Tamandua tetradactyla: one gene and its partner. The protein of the gene in region 1 purifies or fractionates together with the protein of each later gene. This does not show direct contact. Links are inferred from orthologs where the notes say so. Each region holds a gene or a part of one and is shown on either strand. Other genes may lie near its edges. The genes, in order: PSMB2 and PSME4.

What was found.
Region 2: the proteins of PSMB2 (region 1) and PSME4 purify together in Homo sapiens (affinity purification with mass spectrometry; 3 studies listed by BioGRID and IntAct, counting the BioPlex papers as one, with this or other methods). This does not show direct contact. The link is inferred for Tamandua tetradactyla from reciprocal best matches to the Homo sapiens genes PSMB2 and PSME4.

What each region holds. Positions count from the first base shown.
Region 1 is NC_135328.1:189,729,726-189,741,313, forward strand, and holds the start of PSMB2 (proteasome subunit beta type-2), read left to right. Parts: upstream 1-6,269; 5' UTR 6,270-6,395; coding exon 6,396-6,486; intron 6,487-11,588. UniProt on the Homo sapiens protein: Non-catalytic component of the 20S core proteasome complex involved in the proteolytic degradation of most intracellular proteins. This complex plays numerous essential roles within the cell by associating with different regulatory particles.
Region 2 is NC_135343.1:26,261,193-26,273,645, forward strand, and holds the start of PSME4 (proteasome activator complex subunit 4), read right to left. Parts: upstream 4,722-12,453; 5' UTR 4,707-4,721; coding exon 4,465-4,706; intron 1-4,464. UniProt on the Homo sapiens protein: Associated component of the proteasome that specifically recognizes acetylated histones and promotes ATP- and ubiquitin-independent degradation of core histones during spermatogenesis and DNA damage response.

The DNA of each region.
Region 1 (11,588 bases):
CTTTAGGGCAGAATTAGTCTCTCACTGAGGCAAGGGAGTCAATCTTTTGTATCCTTGTGTCAATTAATTGTTGATCAAGGTGGGATATACCCTCCAAGATGAGTGGGATGGCAATTTTAGAAAAGAGAGGGCAGCTGTGAATTATTATCAATCAACATGTACATCAGCTTGGGTGTGTGTGCACTGATAGGTCCACTACAGTCCAACCCTTGTACCAGTCACCTCCTCTTGCCTCTCACATTAATTCACTGTTTAGGTACAATTTCTCCAGGATTATGGTTGGTCAAAATGTCTGAGGAAGTGGAGGGTTACTGGAATGAACTATCGCCTTTGAGCTGTAACCAATGTTCATCAGCAACCTCTCCCACCACTCATATTAGATCCCTCATACCTTTGGCTTGCCTGGCGAGTTGACCCAGATGATCATTTCCATGGAGTCCAGTCTCCCGGTCACCAGACCCTTAGCCCAGGTCATGGTTTCTGTAATTGCCTATTTAAAGTTCAACTGGACATGGGAATACAAGAGATTCCCCAGTGAAACACTTGCGTGTCAAACATATTCCCCCTGTCCTCCTTATGTATCAGCAGACTTATCTTTTCCTAATGATTAGGTCAATTACTCCTGCCAAGTTGTTCATGAAGTTTACTTATGCCCTTTTGATCCCAGATGTACCATCTTCGTTTAATGATGGATTACAGCTGGGCTCACCTGATGTTGTAACGTGATGGCTTTGATAGAACCCAATTCATATTTGGAAGTTTAAGCCACTTGGTCATTTGAAGTCCTGTGATCAGACACTCTGTTTCTACCAGGATGCTATGGCCTTGTTTCAGAATTCAGGGGGTCTGTGTTGCAATTCTCCCATTGGTCACTGCCAGAAGTTCCATGTTTCATTGTTCTCTGCCATTGACACCACTAGTAACATGCAATCAGCTGGGTCACATGACCTAAGTGGAAGGATGCTTATACTGCAACCTGAAGTTGTTAGCCGACTTCCATATGTCAATAGATGAGACTATTTATATATATAAAATGAAAATTGCAAGGTTTAGTTTATTACTACTTAAATATATACTGGTCAGGCACAAGTTCTCTAAGCAGAGCAATCTTAAACAGAGTTAATCTAAAACAGAGTGTTAAGAAAGCATGAAATTCAGAGATTGGTGAGTTTTCAAAGGTATAAGTGGGTTGACACAATCTTTAGAAGTACGGTTACTTGGGTGAGACTGTTCATTGGTTAGTATTCAGAAGGATATTCATTAAGATGCATCAAATCTTGACTGGCTGACTTTCAGAAACCAGCTCCTGGTTTCTGAATGGTTGACTTGCAAAAGCATGTTCACTGATGTGAGTTGTTGCCGATTGGTTTAAAAGGGTTTAAAACAGATTCTGGTGACTGTTTGTTACCACGGGTGTAGAAGTGTCTTTTATTGATTTCATAGGTTTAAAAAGGAGTCCAGTTTGATACTGTGGCTTCAGAACAATCTGTCTCTTCATAAAAATATGGAAACTTTTAAAGTCTCAATTCTTTTACAGGCTTCACTTATCTAAAACTACAAAAGAAACCAGCAAGAATTATTCAGATATTTACCATTGTTGTTTCTTTGAAGATGAAGCTTTATTTGCAAAGGACTGATTTTTTTTCACGTTAATCAACATGATTTAATCCATGTAAATGAATTTAAAACTCTAGACAATAAATATCAAGAATAACTGTAAATATTATGAGTTTGGAAAGCACTATGGAAATACGACCCAAGATTTCTCAGTCCTAATCAAGAAAACATGTTTAAACAATAACTTGGGTCTACCAGATTTGCTATTCTTTTAGTTTAGGTGTATGTAGATTGTTCCATTTCGCCTGTAGTATTAACCTACGTGCAATTTGAAATGTTAGCAGTGGCCTAGATTCTCCCTTCATTGCCCAAAAGAAAATCTAATGCTGTTTTGTTATTTATCTAGGAATGTAAACAGATTTGCTGCACACTGAAGGTATGAAAGGCCATGTTTCTTCATCTAAGCATTGTCTACACAGTATTGTTAACTTATGGATATTAACTACTTAATACATTGATAAATATCCTCAATTTATATTTATCTTTGAACATTATAATGACATGTGATTTTATGTAGTCAAAACTATTGGCCTTTTCCTCCACTGCTTCTGTCAGAGACATATGTGCCTTCCAAAGATTATGGAAATAGTCTTTGTTTTCTTCCATTTTTTTTACATGGCCAGGCACTGGAAATTGAACCCGGGTCTGCCGTATCCCATATGGCAGATGAGAACTCTGTCACTGTGCCACCATCACCCACCCTTTTTCCATTTTTTTAAAAACATTTTTTATTTTGAAATATCACATTTATGCAAAAGAGCAATAAATTTCGAAGTATGTTGTAACAAGTAATTACAGAACAGATTTCAGAGTTTGGTACGTGTGCTGGTTTGAAAATATTATGTACCCCAGAAAAACCATGTTTTAATCCTGATTCAATCTTGTGGGGGCAACCTTTTCTTTTAATTCTAATTTAAGACTGTAGGATGGAAAGTTTTGATTAGCTTATCTCCATGGAAACGAGACACACCAATTGTGGGTGTGACCTTTTGATTAGATGGAGATGTGATTCCACCCATTCCAGGTGGGTCTTGATTAGTTTACTAGAGCTTTAAAAGGGGAAATATTTTGGAAAAATCTCAGAAATGACAGAGCCAACAGAAACTGCAGAGCAGAACTGACACAGAAGCCAACACTTGGAGAACAGAGACATGGATGTTTGTAGATGCTTGGGGCCTAGAGACGTTGCCATGAGATGTTAAGCAAGCCAGAAGCTGGAGAGAGCCAAGGGAAGCCAAGAAATGTAAGCCAGCCCCAGAGAAGCAAAGTGAGGAAACCCCACAGGAATAGAGGCTGTAAGCAACAGAGCCCAGGAGCAAAGGAACAGAAGATGCCACTTGACTTCCCAGTTGACAGAGCTGTTCCAGACCCATTGGCCTTTCTTGAATTAAGTCATTTTTTACTGGATGCCTTAGTTTGGACATTTTTATAGGTTCAGAATTGTAATCCTTGCAATTTATTATATTCCCTTTAGAAAAGCTGTTCCAATTCAGGTATATTGCATCCCAGCAGCTTGCAAACTAAAACAGTTCCACAATTTAAGGTTTTCCTTCTAGCTGCTCCAAGACACTAGAGACACTAAAGAAGCATCAGTATAATGATTCAGCAGTCATATTAATTTGTTAAATAGTATCTTCTCTTTTATGATTCCTCCTTCTCTTGTGATTGTCCCAGTTGTGTGTGTGTGTTTTTTTTTTTTTGCTGTTTGTTTGTTTGTTTTACATGGGCAGGCTCCAGGAACTGAACCCAGGTGTTTCTGGCATGACAGACGAGAATTCTGCCACTGAGCCCCCATTGTGCTGCCCAGTTCTCCAAGTCTTTGGGGTATTTGGACTATGCCCATTCTAACTTTTTCATGTTGGAAAGGGGTGGTGACAAAATGGGATAGGGGGATAGAACTAGTTGATGTTCTTGGATAGGATGGCCCCTCTGCATTTCACGACTTATCTGGCCTAGAAATCATCTGGAGGCTGTCAGTTTCTGGCAAGTAATCTTAGTACATGAAACTTTTGTAGACTGTCAGAGCTCTAGGTATTCTTTAGGGTTACAGGAATGGTTTTGGTTGGGGGTTGGCAAACTGTAGTAATTAGCAATATCTAGCTGAAGCTTGTGTAAAAGTAGCCTCCAGAATAACCTCTTAATTCTAATTGACTTCTCTTAGCCACTGAGACCTTATTTTATTACATTTCTTTTTCCCCTTTTGGTCCATCCCCTGGTGCCAGGGCCAGGCTCATCCCTGGGAGTCGTGTCCCACGTTGCCATGGAGGCTTTCACCCCTGGATGTCATGTAGGGGGGAGGACAATGATTTTACATGCAGAATTGGGCTTAAAGCGAGAGAAAGGCCGCATCTGAGCAACTAATGAGGTTTTCTAGAAGTAACTCCTAGGAAAAACTATAGGTAGACTTAGCTTCTCTGCTACACAAATAAGCTTCATAACAGCAAGCCTCAAAATCAAAGGCTTGGCCTATTAATTTGGGAGTCCCTAATATTTGAGACAGTATCAGGGGTTTCCCAGCTGGTAAAGTTTAATAGTTCCATACTTTTTCTCCAGTCCCTGAAGGGACTTTGCCAACACTTTTGAATTATCTGCCCGACATACTCTGGGATGTATCTGGGTATTGCATTAAGTTCTACAAAACTAAAGCTCTTATTCCCATTCTGGGCTCCATGTGTTTGGGTTGTTTAAATGTGCTGTCCAGACAGATTGAATTAGATAATGTGCTGCAGAAGTTTTGGACAAAATAAACTTCTCTTCCTTTGGTCTTATACGGTAGGTAAAGTTCTAAAATACAGACAATGTCATCTTTTACCCTGTATTCTGATTTAACTTAGTCCTGACCAGATCAGCTTCGTTCTTACCTCTAATTGAAGCCTGATCTCTTTTTCGGTTTCTTTAACAGTTGTTTTACGTAGTAGTGCTGACTTTCAGAGCACAGAACTGCAACTCTGAGATTTAGGTGTCACACAGGTACCCAAGTACCAGCTTATACATATATAGCACAGCCTCTCCAAATTTAGAAATAACATTTACAGCTCCAGACTAAATGTGACTGCTATAAGAGTGCACAATCTAGGTCCCAATTTTCTTATAAGTATTTTCTAAAAGAGATCATACACTATTTGTTCCTTTGTTTCTGGCTTATTTCACACCATATAATGTCCCCAAGGTTCATTCACCTCGTTGCATACCTCACAACTTCATTCCTTTCCGAAGCTGCAAAATATTCCATCACACGTATATACCACAGTTTTGCCATTCTACTTCTCAATGTATCCTTCAGTTACCTCCATCTATTGGGCATCACGGATAATGTCCAAAGTAAACAATCCATGTCTCACTGTATCCTCACTTAGTTGTGCAATCATCAACAATCTCAATTTTAGACAATTTTCATTGTTCCAGAGAGAAAAATAACAGATAAACACACCCTCACTGTTCTGGTTTCCAAGCTGCCAGAATGCGATATACCAGAAACAGAATGACTTTTAAAAAAGGAATTTATTAAGCTGCAAGTTTACAGTTCTAAGGCTGTGAAAATGTCCAAATTAAGATACCAACAAGAGGTTACTTTCACTCAAGAAAGGTCGATTAAATTCAGGGTTTCTCTCTCAGCTGGGAGGGCACATGGCAAAGTCTGCTAGCTTTCTCTCCTGGCTTCTTGTTTCATGAAGCTCCCCTGGGGATATTTTCTTTTTTCATTTTCAAAGGTCTCTGGCTGCATGACTCTCAAGCCTTTTCCAAAACGGTTCCCTCTTAAAGAGCTCTAGCAAGCAACTTCACCTTGAATGGGTGGAGACACATTTCCATGAGACCCATCTAATAAAAAATTACCACTCAAAATTGGGTGAGTCACATCTCCATGGGTACAATAAAAAAGCTCCCACCCAGCATACTGAATGAGGATTAAAGGACATGGGTTTTCTGGGGTACACCACGGATTAAAACCAGCACTCACCAAACAGAAAGTCCAAACCTCCCCTTAACTCCTGTCCTTCTCCACCCCCCACCCCACCCCCACCCCGACCCCCAACCCTCCCACCCACGCCCCCGGACCCCCCCCACCCCCCCACCCCACCCCACCTCACCCCACCTCACCCCAACTATTTACCCCTTGTATTGCTGTAGTACTGTTGATGTCTTCCTGTTAAATATAGGCCATACTTGCAATAGTGGTTTTCCCCCATAACCTTTTATTATTGACTCTTTGTACAAAATTCATACTTTTGAGGTACTTCATACAAGAACTCATTTATATTTGCAGTGTTTCTGCAATGGTTTTTATTAATTTAGTCTTAATGCTTAGATCTTTAATTGAACTATAAAGTATTTTTGTGGAGAATGTAAGTAGGCCTTTTCTCACTCTATTTCTCTTCAATACAGCTTGCAAGGGAAGGGATTTCCAGAGATTTTACTGAGCCCCAAAAGTAAATGGCCCTACCCCTTTTCGAAACCCACCACGAGTTCAGCATTTTACCTATGGTGAGTGATTTCATCCTCAAGTGAGTCTTAAAATTCCTAATTTATAGAAAAGAGTCTGGTAAGAGACATCTATTCCTTGCACCGGCAAAGGACACGAATTCGTAAACCCACCACAGCTCAGAGTTACTCTTAACGCAACGCCCACTTTACAACCTCTCGCGACAGTTGTACGTCATCCGAGAGCGCCCGTAGCTGGGCTCTTGTCGCGGCCTGTGTCTTGCTGTCTCACCGGAGAGGGGAAGAAGCCCGCGAGCCCCGCGCTCTGTTGAACCTGTAGCTCTTGGCCTTTCGCCACCATGGAGTACCTTATCGGGATCCAGGGCCCCGACTATGTCCTGGTTGCTTCCGACCGGGTGGCGGCCAGCAATATTGTCCAGATGAAGGACGGTGAGAGGAAGCAGGGGAGGCCTGGCCGGGCCAGAGTGTAGGAGCTGCGGGTGGGAGTCCGTCGGGGATTGGGGTACGTGTACTAGGAAGGTCAGGGAGGTGGGGCTAGTCCTGCCTGCACTTCCTTATCTTTTAGAACTGTGGAGATGGGTAAACAAGCCTTGGGGTTTTCATTCGCTCCTCCTGCTTTGTGCACTGGCCTTCCCTAAAGGCTTGTTAAGCGAGAGTTTCCTAAGGGAATTCCGTTTATAAGTGTTTAAGCGTCTGCCGGGCACCGGACTTCCTTGAGCCCCTAATTGCTGATAAAGTTCCTATTGTCGCTACTCAGGAGGTTAATTTGCAGGCAGCATAAGGTGGAATGCTGGGGACATTGACACTGTGGGGTCTAGAAGTTTGGCATTTCCCTACTGCTGCCTGTATCTTCCCGTGACTCAGCTCTGATGCTCCTTTTCTAGTTTTGAGGACCCTGGCACTTAATATATCCTTATAGTTAAGTAATTAGTGGATTTAGGAGACTCGAATCCAGCCCCATCATATATTTGCTTTGTGACTTTGTACGAGTTGCTTCGCAGTACCCAGATATTTTCTTCCTCAGTAAAATTAAGTAATACCAATCTCACAGGTTGTTGTGAGGACTGAGTCAGTGAGATAGGTTTATGTGCAAATGTCTAGCACAGTGACAAATACTTAGGAGTAATAGTACTAAACACATTATATACCAGGTATTTTAAACGATTTACATTAATTCATTTAGCTCTTTGCCGCAGGTACTATTAGGTCTCCATTTTACAAATGTTAGTTCTGAGGCACAGAAGAAATTTGCCCAAGGTCACAAGTGGCAGAACCCAGGTTCAAACCTGTGCTATCTGACTTCAGACATTTTGCTTGTAACTATGTATCATACTTTCTCTCTATAGTAAGTACTCAATAAATAATTTAAAAAATATTTTAATTGTTGATCCGTGAAATCGTGTTTTCATGATTGATCATAGAAATGGGTACTGTTGAAAAATTATCATGCTTGGTCTTAGAGATGGTTTAATGCGCTTTTTTAAAAAATTGTGGTAAATAACTTATAAACAAAAACAATGAATTTCAGAGTACATTGTAACAAACAGTTATACAACAGATTTCAGAGTTTGGTGTGGGTTACAGTTGGTTTAATGCTCTTTTGACAAATAAATTTTGAGCATCTGTATGTATGGCTGTTAACAGTGCTAGGTATTGAGGGATGCAAAGAAGAATAAGATGTGGCCCCTACCTTAAAAGATATTTTATATATATATATATATTTTTTTTTTTTTTTTTTCATGGGCAGGCTCTGGGAAACAAACCGGGATCTCTGGCATGGCAGGCGAGAATTCTGCCACTGAGCCATCATTGCACCACCCAAGATACTATAATTTGATAAGGGATTTAAATATGTTTTCAAATAATTATAACGCAGTCTAGAAAGTCATGTGTCATGTGAAAAGTATATTCAAATTTCTCAGGTAATCCAGAGGAAGAAGAGAGTCTTTCTGGTTGTAGAGATTAGGGAAAGTTTTCAGGGCAGATGACAGTTCATCTTGGGTTTGAGGAAAGAAGCATTACTAAATCTGGAGTTTCCTGAAGTGCGTGAACAAAGGCAAGAAGTGTCCATTGTTGCTGCTGCAGACATCTGATTGTCAGGCTCTCATCACCTGGGGAGATGGAAAGCCCTCTGAGAGGCTTTGCTTGTGTTTGCTTCTTTCTGAACATAGAGAGAGGATCCCAAAAGTAGTTTGTTAAAGTATCTATGTTGTGGATTGATCCTCAAGAAATTACTTCATGAAATTCCAAGATTAGTTTGTAGAAGTTTTGTTTATAAACTAGTTTTTCCAAAGAAGTGAATATTTGTTTGAGAGTAAATTTGTCTGTTATTTTTAATGCTAAGGCTTTTGACAATCGAATGATTTTAGCAGGATGATGTGTCTAGGTAGAGCAATAACCAAATCAGTACCTTTACAAGTTTGTTATAATAATGTGTGTACAATCACTTTGAAAAGCAAAACGTGCTTGAAGACTACTTATGTACACAGTACTTTTAGGTGTTGTAAGGGATGCAGTGTATGAGATATCTGCAGGGGTTCAAGGCATGACACAAAGCAATAAATACTGCACCATGATTACATATGGTAAAAGACATATTAGTCATAGTAGGTTAGTTTTTAATATATATATTTTTTTAGTAGAAAATATAGAGTTCCCATATACCCCTCCATTATTAACGCAACATATTTATAACCTGAAATTTCCCCCTTTTAACCACATTCAATTATACAATTCAGAGGTGTCAATCACATTCATAGTATTGTGCTACTAGCACCACAATCATTACCAAAACCTTTCCATCACCCCAAACAAATTCTGCACAATTCCCTATTCCCTACCTCTACCCTGGCCATTGGTAACCTGTATTCTATTTTCTGACTCTGAATTTGCTTTTTCTAATTATTTCATAATCAGCGAGATCATACAATATTTGTCCTTTTGTGTCTGGTTTATTTCACTCAACCTGATGTTTTCAAGTTTCATCCATTTTATCAGGTCAGAACTTCATTCCTTTTTTTTTTCCCGCTAAATAGTATTCCATTGTATGTATATATCTCATTTTATTTATCTGTTCATTGATTCATGGACACTGGGTTGCTTCCATCTTTTGGCAATAGAGAATAATGCTGGTATGAACATCTCTGTGCAAATGTCTGTCTGAGGCCCTGCTTCAGCTCATTTAGGTGTATACCTAGAAGTGGGATTGCTGGGTCATATGGCAGTTCTGTAGTTAACTTTCTGAGGAACTGCCAAATTGTTTTCCACAGCAGCTATATCATTTTACATTCCCACTAGCAATGAGTGAGTGTTCCTATTTCTCCACATCCTCTCCAACACTTGTAATATTCCATTTTAAAAATAGTAGCCATTCTGCAGATAGTAACTCTTTGTGGTTTTGATTTGCATTTCCTTAATGGCTAATGATGTTGAACATCCTTTATATGCTTTTTGGCCATTTCTCTGTCTTCTTTGGAGAAATGTTTATTCAAGTCTTTTGCCCATTTTTTTTTAGTGATTTTTTAAGTTAATTTTTTAATTTTTAAAAAATGTAACAACAAACACACACATTCTTAACTTATGATCATTCCGTTCTACATATATAATCAGTAATTCACAATATCATCACATAGTTGCATATTCATCATCATGATCATTTCTTAGATCATCATTCAGAAAAAGAAATAAAAAGACAACAGAAAAAAATTCATGCATAACATACCCCTTATCCCCCCTTTCATTGATCACTAGCATTTCAATCTAAATTTATTTTAACATTTGTTCCCCTATTATTTATTTTTATTCCATATGTTTTACACGTCTGTTGATAAAGTAGATAAAAGGAGCATCAGATAACAAGGTTTTCACAATTACACAGTCACATTGTGAATGCTGTATCATTGTACAATCATCTTCAAGAAACATGACTACTGGAACACAGCTCTACATTTTCAGGCAGTTCCCTCCAGCCTTTCCATTACATCTTGACTAACAAGGTGATATCTATTTAATGTGTAAGAATAACCTCCAGGATAACCTCTCGACTCTGTTTGGAATCTCTCAGCCATTGACACTTTATTTTGTCTCATTTCGCTCTTCCCCCTTTTGGTTGAGAAGGTTTTCTCAATCCTTCCAGTGATACTGAGTCTAGGATTTCTGTCCCATCTTGCCAGGAAGATCCACACCCCTGGGAGCCATGTCCCACGTAGACAGGGGGAGGTTTTACCCATTTTTTAAATTGAGTTGTTGGCTTTTTTGCGATTGAAGGACTTCTTTAAATATTCTGAATAGTAAACCCTTATTGGATATATGGTTTCCAAATATTTTCTCCTGTTCTGTAGGTTGTTTTTTTTGTTTGTTTGTTTGTTTTTTTTTTTTACTTTTATGATAAAATCCTTTGATACATAAAAGTTCTTTAGTTTTGATGAGGTCCCATTTATCTGTTTTTTCTTTTTGGTGCTTATGCTTTTGGTATAAAGTCTAATTAGGTTAGATTTTAAATTAATGATTTCAGCAGTAAATCCCAAAAGTATTTGGGAATATTCAGGGAAAGGAAAGATCATTGTGTTATGGAGAAAAGAATTTAAATTAGTTCTTGAAAAATGGTTGAAAATACTTATACTCAGCTTTCTCTAGTTATCCCTGTAATCTTTTCTGGCATAAATTTTTTTTTTTTTTTTTTTTTTTTATGTGGACAGGCATCAGAATTGAATCCAGGTCTCTGGCATGGCAGGCGAGAACTCTGCCACTGTACCACCATCACCTACCCTGGCATAAATTTTTAAGATAGAGCTTTGGAATTACATGAGGACTCTTTCTCCCACATTTCATTTCATGAAAGAACTTATGCAGGGTAGGCAAGAATGCTGAAAATGAGTCCCATTTTGGGACTCATTTGCTCCAACTATAAAATGAAAATAATACTTGGAATCAGTTTGTCTTGTAAGATGTTTTGGTACTATAGAGAAGACTGTTCCCAAAGATTGCTTGCTTATTTAAGTGGTACAACTCTTGATTTGGTTATGTGTTTTATCTCATATCTCTTGCCTCCTGGCTTGTATAGAATTGCTTTTAAATTATTCAGAGTACTCCAACCCGCACAGAACTTTCTGTTCTCTGAATTCCTATAACACATATAATCTCAACTACATTGTGTAACAGTGAGTATAGTAATATACCTGTATAAGAATTATTACTGTTTTCCTCACTTGTGAATTAGGCAGGGGTTAGTGATATGACTGTTTTACATGTTAGGACATAGACTTAAAGATAGCAAGTAATTTGTCTTAAGTTTGGAATGCTGAGCTCAGATTATAACCAAGGTCTTTGGGGTCCAGATGGCTTCTCAAAGCTTTACATGCGCGTGTTCATTTTTTTATCCTTTTGTTTCATGTTTGTGGATCTTGTACATTCCTTATAGAGGACCAGAACTTCCCTAGAGCTACACAGGCTGTTTCCTGTACAACTCAGGAAAGCTATTAGCATTTCCCCTACTACTTGCTGTTTATACAATAGATGCTTAAAAAACACTT
Region 2 (12,453 bases), on another chromosome or scaffold:
TTGAAGACAGGTGATGGGTACATGAGGATTCATTATAGTCTGTCTTCTTTGTATATGTTTGATATTTTCCATAATAAAAAATGTTTAAAACAAAAAACTAAATAAATGGTATTAGAAAACTGTTCAAATAAGAATCACACATTTACCCACTGACAAGATTCTGGCAAAAATAGCCAATGAATTATTAAAAAGTAACTAGTGAGGCATAAATTGATAAGATATTTTAAAAGAATGATTAAAGGTAGGCCATGGAGGCTCATCAAGCAGAGTTCTTGCATGCCATGTCAGAGACCCGAGTTCGATTCCTGATGCTTGCCCATGTTAAAAAAAAAAAAAAAAAAAAAGAATGATTAAGAGGGGTTCTTGCAAATTGATATTATTTTGATAAATTTTTGAAAAAAATGTGTTAGTGCTATGAAAAACCAAATAAGCAGGATACCTTATTCTATTATTACACAACTTTGTCAGAAGAATTCATGTCCCACAAAGTAATTTAATTCATTTCTTTGTTTTTTCTATGGAAAACCAACTTTTTCTGCTACAAAGAAATTTTGATCCCCATTTAAAATGTGGTTACTTAATAATGTAAATAAAGTAAATATCGTTACTTAATAATAAACTTTAACCCCTTTGGTTCTCACTGATGAATGTGATAAGTTGTCAAGATTTCAAGATTCTTTCACAAAAAAGCACTTGTATTTATTGCATACTTCAATTTCCTTACTCAAATATTAGATACCCTCAAAAGCATCACATTTCAGAACAAAGAACTGAAATTCAGCAGTTAGCATTTTGTACTTTTTCCTCCACACCAAGATGATATTAAACTGGGGACTCCTGTGGTCACTTATTACATTCCTCAAGAGGAGGTCAGTGTATTTGAGAACTCATACCTTGACTAAACTTCAGTGTCCAGTGGGTATATAATCAACTTATATGGTTTCAACTAGGATAATCCAATTTCTATCCAGGAAGGCTACATAATGTTCTTAATAATAATTAAACAACTGTGATTTCATTCTAAAGGGAACCACAATTTAATTAGTAAATGAAATGATTCCTCAGCATAATGCATTCATTTCATTATAAAACAGCACAGGCTATATAACACCTCACTGTAACAAACAGGAATGTAAATTTACTTCATATTAAACTAAAGTCACATAAAAACTTGACTAAAATCAAAATTCTGTTAAAAAAAAAAAAGAACCAAAGATAAAAATGATCATTAATGGGGTAAACTTGTAGGAAACACAGTAAAAGCCCATTCCTTTTCCTCCCTCTCCTTTCCAAACCAGTTTAAAGGAACTCAGAGCTAGATACAGAAAGGCCCTTTGGGGCCATCAAGCCCAATGACTGTTTTCAAACTGTACTTTGGAGCCCTGAGCAGACTTCAGGGATCTATCATCAGTAATGTTAAAAGAAAAATGTCAAAAAAGAAGCAAAATGTCAGTGTGTATTTAATCTAAGAAGCTCAAGTTTATGTTTACAATTTTATTTTTATAAATAAAGCAGTCCACTGTTAAATTTGAGTTTGAAATACCACTGGAAAGGTTAGGTAAGATCTTGAGTATAGACATACTGAGGTCTTGTGATCAAATGACAATAGGAGAAAACCCAAGTTTCAGGATTATCTTCTCCAACTCGCTTCATTCTTTACATGGACAAGTTACCTACCTAGACCCTTCACATAGATACCTTTTACTTACAGTACCCACTAGCTGTCTACTGCTTTCTAAAGGCCATTAATTTGTGCCTCCCTTCTCTAATTTGTGTCAACTTCTCTAATTTGTTTCCTCCCTTCTTAAAAACTGGCCCTGTGATATATTACACCACTCACTCTCTCATTAAGAGGCAGTTCTAATCCTTTAAACTACCTGTACAAGAGAACGTGTATTATTTCAAAGGCCCCATTTTTAAAATACACAGATACAACCCTTCTTCCCAGAGATGCTAAACAGACCTGCAAGAGTAAAAATGGATTGAAGCAGAATTAGTTAACTACTGAAATGGGGTAAAATGTCAAAAAAGGGGGTCAAATGTAGAACTCAATGTTAGGAGTACACTCTTCTGGTCTAATACCCAGGCCCAGAACTTCCAGAAGGGCATTTACACCCTGGTCTTTAGAAATGTACTGGATCTATGCAAGTATTTCCAGTATTTCACAAATTGCTCGAACAGTCCTTGTAGAAAGATAACCTGGCTTATTTCAGGCTTTAATGGATATAAAAATAAAATCATAGAATACTAGAGCAGGAATGGTCCTCAAGAATTATTTAGCCCAATCCTCTCATTTCACATAACTTCTACCACAGTGTTAGTGGCTGAAACTAGATCTTTTCTTCATTTCTTTAAATCACTTTATTTAAAAAGATACCATGAAACTAGATTTTATTTACATATCTCTCCATTCTTTTTAAGAGGACTAAATATAAATATGATCACCATGTCAGGTAACTGACAACTAATATCACATATCCTGGCATTATTTAGATGTAAACTTGTGCAGCACAGAGGGCTTAAAAAACAAGCACAACTATAAAAAGTTCACCTTAACATATGACGTAGGAAAAAAAAAACACACCCTAGATCACAACATGTCCCACCAAGTTCAAAATGTCACATAATGTCATCTCAAGAATCAGTTTGCAGTATTTAACCACTGTTCCAAAATAAAATTCTACATGACAGCTTTCTTGCACTTATTTAGCTTTAAATGAACAAGGGTCCATAAGAATTAAGCCATATAACTGCAATGCTGCTGTAAACTCCAAGGGCTGTCTTCACTATATTTAGCCCTTTCTAGGTAAACTGAACAAAGGAAAAACAAAGACCTCATGCTAATTTACTAAACCTAATAATGAATATTTTAGAAAACAATGTTCAACTATGCCTTCGTAGATTCTAGGTTCATAAATCCCAAACAGATATGCATTCTCATACTGGATTACTTATATATTGTACATTGAAAAGAGCTGTTCGTGTCCACAAAAATGGTATTGTCTGGGAAGTCAAACAGAATGGAAATTACTGAAGCTGACAATATAATTTTATTTTTACTATGCCTGAAAAACACAAACACCTAGGAGGCTCACTTGAATTTTAATCATTTATAAAAGATTCTTCCCATTTTGACTAAAAGTGGTTCTTCTTTCTGTTGCTTTCTTCTTTACTCCTAAATCTTCTACGGATCCTACAAACCAAACTTCTTCACGCTCTAGTCAAGAGAACGGATACCTTTTACGAACACTTTTTGAAGAGGGCAAGTTGTTTTTAGCTTTGTTTTTTAATTAAAAAGGTAAATTATTCCCATCTCCCTAAGAGGAAGGGAGAAATTTGTCACATGCACTAATAATTGGCAAATAAAAATCATTCCTTGGTGAAAACTGGAGAAGACTATTGCATTACAAAACCCTGAGTCATCACCCAGTTCACTCAGCAGATTTGGGTAAACATTGTCTAAGTTACATATCTTGTGCACTCAACCATCCATAACCTCAAGTCTGAACATACAATGTTACCATATTTTATGTACAGTTAATCAAACATGCTACAGTAATATTCTTTTTTTAAAGTTCTAACAGTGAAGAACCCCTTCTAGCGAATAAAGTCTCTAGCCTTTTCCCCCCACAGCAGTTTTTTCTAATCTCAGTGACACTATAGTTTATAGCTAGTTTATGCATTTTTAAAAAAGAAGGAAAAAGGAAGAGAATTCCAGCAAATGATTCCATCTGAGCCACTCAAAACTTAACACAAGTCTGATACTAATAACACCTTGGACAACTTGACAGCTTTCTTACCTATTTTCCTTAGCATTGTAAAGATCTTTCCAAAGGAAAAGTCACAAGGACGGTGACATACACTTACCCCAGTTCTAGACTTAAGATTAACTTCTAGTCTATGGCCCAAGGATTCGCTAAGAGCTGATTTGAAACCAATCGTTTCAACAAATCCACAAGAACTCCAACCCTCAACCCCCAAATGAAAAAGAAAAGGAACTCCGAAGTTTTCCTACGGCCTCCTTCCCATTCAGAAACTGAGAGCAGAAAGTTACTAGACGCTAACAGAGGGATAAGAGGCGGAGACCGTAGGGGAAGAAAAAACCGGGGGAAGTCAAAAGTTCCTCCCTCAAAGATGAATCCTCTCTACCTACAAGCAAAGGTCCAACGTGTACCCTCGAGGATGGCTCATCTCTTCCCCTTGGGGCACTGTGCCCTCCGGCTCTCTGGGGCCCCACAGATCAGAAGACAACAACCCGAACCCTTGGGGAGAAGCAGTTAGGGAGGACTTAGAGAGGTCCCGTAGGAGAGTGGCAGTAGGTGGTCTGGGTGTGCCCCGGCCTCCGGGGATACTGCACAGGACCACCGGCTAGAGATCGGGCAGAGATGGGGTCCAGTCGTGCGAGACCCCCGTATGCCTTCCCGCTGAGCCTTTGCCTCCAGCCCCCTTTCCGGGCACACTTACGTGGAGAGTTTCCTGGTCCAGAAGAGGCCTCCGGGCCATAGCTCTTGGAGCTGCACGGCCCGGCCCAGGTTGCTTTTGATCTGGGCCAGTTGCAAGTCGGACTCGGCGTCCAGCCGCTCCGCGTAAGGTAGCAGCTTGTTGTAGACGATCTCCTTCTGCGGAACGTAGGCCCGCGGGCAGGGCCAAGGACGCCCGCCCGGCTCCGGGGGCTCCCCGCCGCCCGCCCGCTCGGCCAGTTCCATGAGCCCAGGGACACCCCACCAGCCCCTCCCACCCTAGCCCTCCCCGACCCCCTCCCCTCTCCGGGTTCCGCCTCCTCCGCGTCGTCGTCCCCCTGCGGCCGCCGGCGGCCCGTCACCCTCGGCCCGACCGCTGGCTCCCCGCGCGGTCCCGGGTTCGTTAGCGGCGGCAGCGACAGCTCCGCCCGCCCCACACCGGCTCTGCTGGTGACGCTGCAGCCGCCGGGCCCGGAGGTTCCGGACAGACCTCTAGTCACTTCCGGGGCGGGGCGGGGCGACGGGACCGGGTCGGAGGCGGCCGCGGCGGGAGCCCGGGGGGCCGCGCCTACTCGCCACGGGCCGGGCTCTAGCCCCCACCCCCGGGCCTCACCGGCAGCGCGCGAGACCGCCCCGCCGGAAGCACGAGGTAGAATTCCAAGCTATTGTCCTGCCCCGCCCGGGCTCGCGCGCTGCTGGCGGCGGTCCTTGGGAGCCCGCAGTCGCCGTGGCCTGCGGCGAGGGAGTCGGTCTGGGTCCCCACGCTGAATTACCCCTACTTCACGGCTATATAAGAGTTTCTGGAAGCGCCTGTGTACCCTGTAACCATCTTATTTGTTACTTAGAGATTTTTACTTTGTCTCTTTTAAGCCTTCGTCTTTCTGGTCTTCCGGTAGCCATCAGTCCCGAGAAGAGAACAGTTAAGTCATTGAACGCGTCAGGCTCTCGGTTTAGGCTCTTGACAGGGAGAGTTTTAAGAGCACCTGGTTCCTGCCCTCCAGGGCCTTACAGTCAAGGAAATGTGCAATTACAAGACAGTGCTCTTAATTGCTAGGAAAGTATAGGATGCCTTGGAAACTCTGGATAGTACAAATTAGAGGGGTGTCAGGTGGGTCCTAGAGGTGATATTTAAGGTTTGCGTGCAGAATTGGTGAGGAATAAAAGGGAGAACATACATTCCAGCAGAGGGAACAGCTCAGAGGCTGCAAACCTGCACTCTGCAAATTCAGAGAAGTCAGGAATGGTTGAAGATTGCTCGCGAAAGGAGGAGCGTGGAGTAATAAGACTGAGAAGGAAATGCTAGAGAATTTGGCATTTTATCCTAAAGGCAACAAGAAGCTTTTAAAGGATCGATTTTTAGCATAGGAGTGGCATGATGTGATTTGCAGTTTAGAAGATACCCTAGCTTTGTGTGGGGAATGAATTGCAACTGGCAAGATGGTAAACTGGAGGATCCATTAAGAGTCTGTGCCATGATCTGGGTGACTTAATAATGGCCTCGATGTCAGTTGAAATTACTTTGTCAAGCTTGGTAGTTGATTGAATGTGAAGAGTGGAAAAGAAGAGACAGGGTGATGGCAAATTTCTGACTGAAGGATGTGTTCACAGGGATAGGGAACACAGGAGCAGAAGCAGGTTTAAAGACAGAAATGACAAAATGCCTATGGGATGGGTAGATATTTTGACATATGGATCAGATGGAATAAGAAATAGAGAATAGGACCCTTGACAGAACCTTGAAAAACCCTGACATTTAAAGATGGGTAGAGAAAGAGGAGGTAGCCCACAGAGAATACTCAAAAGAGCAGTCAGAGAGAGGTAGTAGGGGTTCTAGGAGAGAGACCATCAGTAAAACCAGAGTGTTTCAGATAGAGGAAGTGATCAACAGTAGCAAACAAGACTGGCAGGTCAAATGAAAAGAAACCTGAGAAGGGTTCCTTGGAGTTACTGATAAATTACATAAGAACAACTTTGTGAAATGTAGAAATGGAAACTAGATTACAGTGACAAAAGATGAATGGAAAGTAAATAAACAAAGGCAGCAAATGTGCATAATCCTTTTGAAAAGTTTGGATGGAAAGAACAGGATAAGTATAAGGATGTATCAGGAATGAAAGTGAGTTTTTGAAGGTGGGGTAAATTTACATATTGATGAAAAGGGATGAATGGAGAGAGAAAGGTAAGCTTTGTGGGTCAGGATAACAGTGGGAGGGGATGTGAAGGGGCTGGTCCTTACCAGGAAAACCAGACCGCTTTCATAGTCAGGAGGAAACACGGAAAGGATAGCTGCGGGCAGATGGAAGATTTGCAGATTTAGTGGCTGGAAGTTAAAGTACATTTCTGATGGTTTCTTTTTTTGTTTGAAGGAAGACAATGAGAGTGATAGGGAAAGTGGTGGGTAGGAGTTGTGAGGAAATTGAACAAGGGTTAGAGTAGTCTCAAAAATCAGAAAATTGATTAGAGAAACACAGTAGACTTGCTTGGCATGGAGAGGTACCTAGTTAAGGCTGGAAGCCTGAATTTACTATCATCTCTGTGTACAATCCACTTATTTTCTCCAAAAGTGTTTAATAGCCCAAGATTGTATGACTGGTATGACACAATGACAAAGGAGCAAGAGAGTGTTTTCTGTTTTGGTGGTGATAATGGAATACCACTTATTGAGCACTTTTATCTGCCAGCATATTAACTACACTGTTTTATTGAGTACTCTCTGTAAATATAGACACTTGATTTGAGAATATCTGAAAGGGAGTGATTAACATCTTAAGTTGTTTGAAGCCTTAGGAAGGAGAGAAGACTGATAGGGGAAGAATAAGGGGCCGAGGCATGGCAGATCCTGAGGAGGTAAAAGGACAATATTGAAGGATTAGTTTGAGCAAGGGATCTGAAAGAAGGGGAATGTTTAGTATTAAGATTTCAAAGCGGTTCCAGGTGAGGTCAGGTTCCTAGGAGTGGATATGTGAACTGCAAAAGTCAAAAAAGTCTTTGAAGCAAAAGAAATCAAGTCTCTCTCTACTATTTATTGTACCTGAAAGTTTAATAGAAAAGACTGTTGAAACCCCTTCTAGGTGAGAAAGTTGAAAGAACTTATGTTTCTTTGGGTCATCTAGTCTACTCATCAATGGAGACAATAACCCAGAATCTAGGGTTTTTCCTCTCAGTCCTAATACCAAGCACTTCTTATTTCTTGGAGCCCAGGATACCTCTGTCAAAGTCTAACTGCCCATAGTCCTTTCATCCAGACCTTAAAGAGAACATTGGCTTCTTATCAGACCCCTCAAGGAAGCAAAATATCATTTCCCTCTTGGAAGACCCAGAAAGTACAATACACCTTCTTGGAAAATATTCTGAAAAAAAGGTTACCCCTCAAGCTGAAGGAATTGGCAGGTGTAATTATCATTAAGTATTTGTTTTTATATTATTTAGCCATAAAAAGTAATGAAGGTATCATGTTGCGTGAAATAAGCCAGGCAGGAACAAATATTGTATGATCTCACTCACGTGAAATAATTGGAATATGCAAATTCATCAAGTCAGAAATTAGAATACAGGTTACAAGGGGCAGGACTTGAGGTAGGAAATGGGGAGACAATGTTAATCGGTACAAAATTTCTGTTAGGGGTGAAGGAAAAGCTTTGGTAACGGATGATGTTGATGATAATACAAGACTGTGAATCTAGCACCACTGAATTGTATACCTGAAAGTGCTTAAAATGGGAGATTTTCTGTTGTATAGATGTTACCACAATAAAAAAAAACAAAAAAACAGGCGTAGAACTGTTTTCCATAAGCGTGAACTCTAATATAAGCTTTGGGCTTTAGTTTATAATGTAATTATAATCATATTGATTCATCAATTAAAACAAATGTACCTACTATCTAGGACGCAATGTTTAAGAAAACTGTGTATGGGGGGGAGGTGGTATATAGAAACTACTTTTTACATGATTTTTCTGTAAAATCACAGCTGTTCTAAAAAATAAAGATATATGTTTGGTATAGTTATTGTCCCACTTCTTAATAATCCACTTAGTAGCAACTAATGGAATAAAGATATATTATTAATGTTATTTCTTCACCTGCTGTAGTTTTCCCTCTATATGATATACTTTGGGCATGGAGAAAAATTGGCAAGTGATTGAATCACTGTTGCCAGGTGCATAATCTTTAGAAATATTTGAATTATAATGACTCATTTTTCCATCTCAAATATCCACATTCTTGCTGTGTCACACATCAAAGGCACAAGAACACTGACTCTGAGAAATGTTGAGAATTTTTTTCTGATTCCTATATAATTTTCAAGTTTTGGATTTTTCATCCAAAAATCTTTCTCGTACTATCCACTTCATTTGAACTAGAGTATTTTTGGAGTTCAATTTTTAATAAGGAGAGTGGAGCTAAAGGAATGATTGTTATTATGATTATTTTATATTTTTCTCTTTATTAGGCATTTAGCCATTTTACTACAGTGTAGCTAGTACAATGTAGTGGGCTTATTTTTATTTATATTTCATGGGAAATTTATTTCTTGAATCAAAAGATTCATATACTTCATCAGTTACGCAAAATTTTCAACTGTTTACTGTCCAAAATGTCTTCCTCCCACTTCTCTTCCTGTAGAATTCTTCCTGCTAGTCATATGTTGTAACTTCTGATTCTGATTTCATATCTTTTACATATAGTTTGCAAATCTTTGTCTCTCTACCTCATTCTGGATAACTTTCTCATTCTGCTGTTAGAGCAATCTAATTGCTGAGAAGTTTATTAAGATTAAAAAATCTTAAATTGTAAGCCACCAAATTTTAACTCCAGTTAATTTCTGCTGGTCATTCTTTCTTCTGGAGTAATGTAGAATAAGGTTAGTCTCTCCATATAAAAATACTTAAAAAAAGAAAATACATGCTATGACACTTCCCTTAAGTCTTATACCTGAGATAAATATATAATTGTTTTCTTCCTTGTTCTTTGTATGACTTTGTTATCAAGCTCTTTCATCTTTTCTCACCCTTTACAGATTTTGCACTGCTGTACCCTCTACCTGGAGAGCTCTTTCCTCCCCCATACTTTTCCAGGCTAACTCTCATTCATCAGATAAACCTAGAGATAACTTTCTTTGGAAAACTTTCTCTGACCTTCTCAAAAAATGGATTAGATAGCCATCACCTCTTGGGTGGTGTGTTGACCTCTATTAGGAACTTTTCATAGTGTATTATAATTTTCCTTTTTTTCTCTATCTTTCCAATTTCTTGCTCTCTGGTAGCGAAACTTCTTAATTACTGATTCCACTCCAAAGTTTAGAAGTTAACTAATTATTTGTGGAATAATCAGAAAATCAAAGAGTGAGGAAGGATGATAAGCATCCGTTTCTCAGTTTCTTTACATATAAAATGGAATGAGTAGTAAAAATTCATTTGGTTTGATGTGTATAAAAATTAGTACTCTCATAAAAGTCTCTAATATTTAAGAAAGTTTCAGATAAATCTTGTTTATTATTGTTTGTAATCAACTAAAATTCATTTATTTTCCACATTTAAACAACAGCAACAAAAAACCCAAGTCATTTGCTGTTTCCAGGCTTAGTACCTGCTCCAAAGTTGATGCAGAGTCAATTCCCACACTTACTGCTTTGGTTTTTCCTTCCTTTTCATGTCTGACATGTAAGGATTTTCCTTTTTTGTGTGAGTTCATTTGTTGTTGTATTTATGTTCAATCCAGCATTTCTATGTAAGAGGGTTTCTGTCCTGGCTTAGGCTGCCATGCCACTGGAACTGAAAGACTCTTAAGGAATGACCTAATTCTAAAGTATCAGGCATCGTTGGAAGCAAAAGGGAGCAATTGTGAGCAATTAAGAGTTCTCCTTGAGTCCCTGAAATCATATCACAGAGGTGGCCATTGGTAATGCCTTTCTAAAAGCCAATATTTATCTAGTGATTAAAAAATAATTTATTATTTAAAAAATATTTTGTTGATATTTAAGTACAAGATTCAGTACCACTGAAGTTCGTGTTTCATTTTGACAAGCTGGGAATGATATAGTTTACAACTTCCCTTGTAATAAAAAACAGTAAAGAGATGTATATTTTAATGGCAGTTGAAAAAATTAACAATAGATGTGATAGATAATAATACACAAAGAGAATGTACACTCTATCCACCTACTCCTGGTTTTTGAGTATATAAATAGAACATGCCTTACTCATAGGCAGAGAATGGATTTTCTGCAAGTGTAATTTGAATAGGTAGCAAAACACTCACACTTGATCTGATTCTTGAAATGCTTCTGTTTGCCATCTTTGTACTAAGTAGAATCTTTTTTTGAACTTATAGACGCATAAGAGAGGCTGTATATCAAATCCTTAATTCTTTGGAGTGAATTATGTATTCATTAATTCAATAAGCATGTATTGGATGCCTCCTGTGTGCCAAGTTTGAGGTCATGAGATGAATGACACCGTATTTGTCCTCAAGGAGTTCACTGCCTAGTGAACTGACAGACATGTAAACAACTATATTAAAATTTTAACCAAACATCAACTAGGATCTCCCTACCCCTTAAGGCCTCTAGACAAAACTAATTCAAACTCCCTTCCACAGACTGGAAAATTCAGGGTCAGGCAATATTTACGGAAATTTTGGAGGATTGGATTGCTTGTATTTTTATAATCACTCCAATTTTTATAATCAGCTCCAAACTTTTGCTTATACTAAACTAGTTCCCTTGAGTGATCATCTTTATACTTAGTGAATTTTAGAAGAGACCATTAATGTCAGAAACAAGACAAGGATGCTTGTTGTTTGACACAAATTGGGCCAGATTATGCTGCGTTAATAAAAAATCTCAGAGGTTTAACATGTATTATTCCCTTATACTATATTTCATCTCAGGTTAGGAGAAGGTCCTATTTTACTTTGTCCTTACTCCAGGACCCTGGCCGTTGGAGCAGCCACTATCTGGAAAATACCCAATGAAAATGTATTCGTATGTTCACTGAAAGGCATGTACTAGAATATTCATAGCAACACTATTAAAAAGAACCCAAACAAGGAACAACCCAAATGCCTATCAACAGTAAAATGAATAAATGGATAAGTTGTGATATATTTGTAAATGAAATATCATATAGCGGTAAGAATAAAAAAGTTATAAACAGTTCAAAAACAATATTGAAACAAAAGAAGCCAGACACAAAAGAGCATCTTCTGTATGATCCCATTCATATATAAATATATATGGCTCAGAAACAGGCTGAATGAGATTTTTGTAGGTTTGGCCAGAGTGATGCCCCGATAAATCCCAGAGTGATTTGAACAGTGAATAAAAAAACATTTGCAAAGTCCCCTTAGGGAAATGGTGAGAAAGGGGGAAAATTCAACTTCCCCATGTGGAGAATTCCTTATATTCTCACAACCAGTGAGGACAGCCAAGATTGGGCCGAGCCCTCAATCTTGGGGTTTGTTTATCTGAAACTTATCCCTGCAAAGGATAAGCTACGCCTAATTAGAATTAGGCCTAAGAGTCACCCCCAGAGAACCTCTTTTGTTGCTCAGTTGTGGGCTCTCTCTCTTAGCCAACAGGACAAGCAAACTCACTGCCCTCCCCCTCTCTACGTGGGACATGACTCCCAGGTGTGTAAACCTTCCTGGCCACATGGGACATAAATCCTAGAATGGGCTGGGACTCAGCATCAGGAATGAGAAAACCTTCTCGACCAAAACAGGGAAGAGAGAAATGAGACAAAATAAAGTGTCAATGGCTGAGAGATTACAGAGTTGAGAAGTTATCCTGGAGGTTATTCTTACGCATAATATAGATATCACCTTTTTATTTAAGGTATAATGGAGAAACTGGAGAGAAGTACCTGAAAATGTAGAGCTGTGTTCCAGTAGCCATGTTTCTTAAAAATGATTATATAATGATACAGTTTTCACAATGTGACTGTATGATTGTGAAAACCTTGTGTTTGATGCTTCTTTTTTCTACCTTATG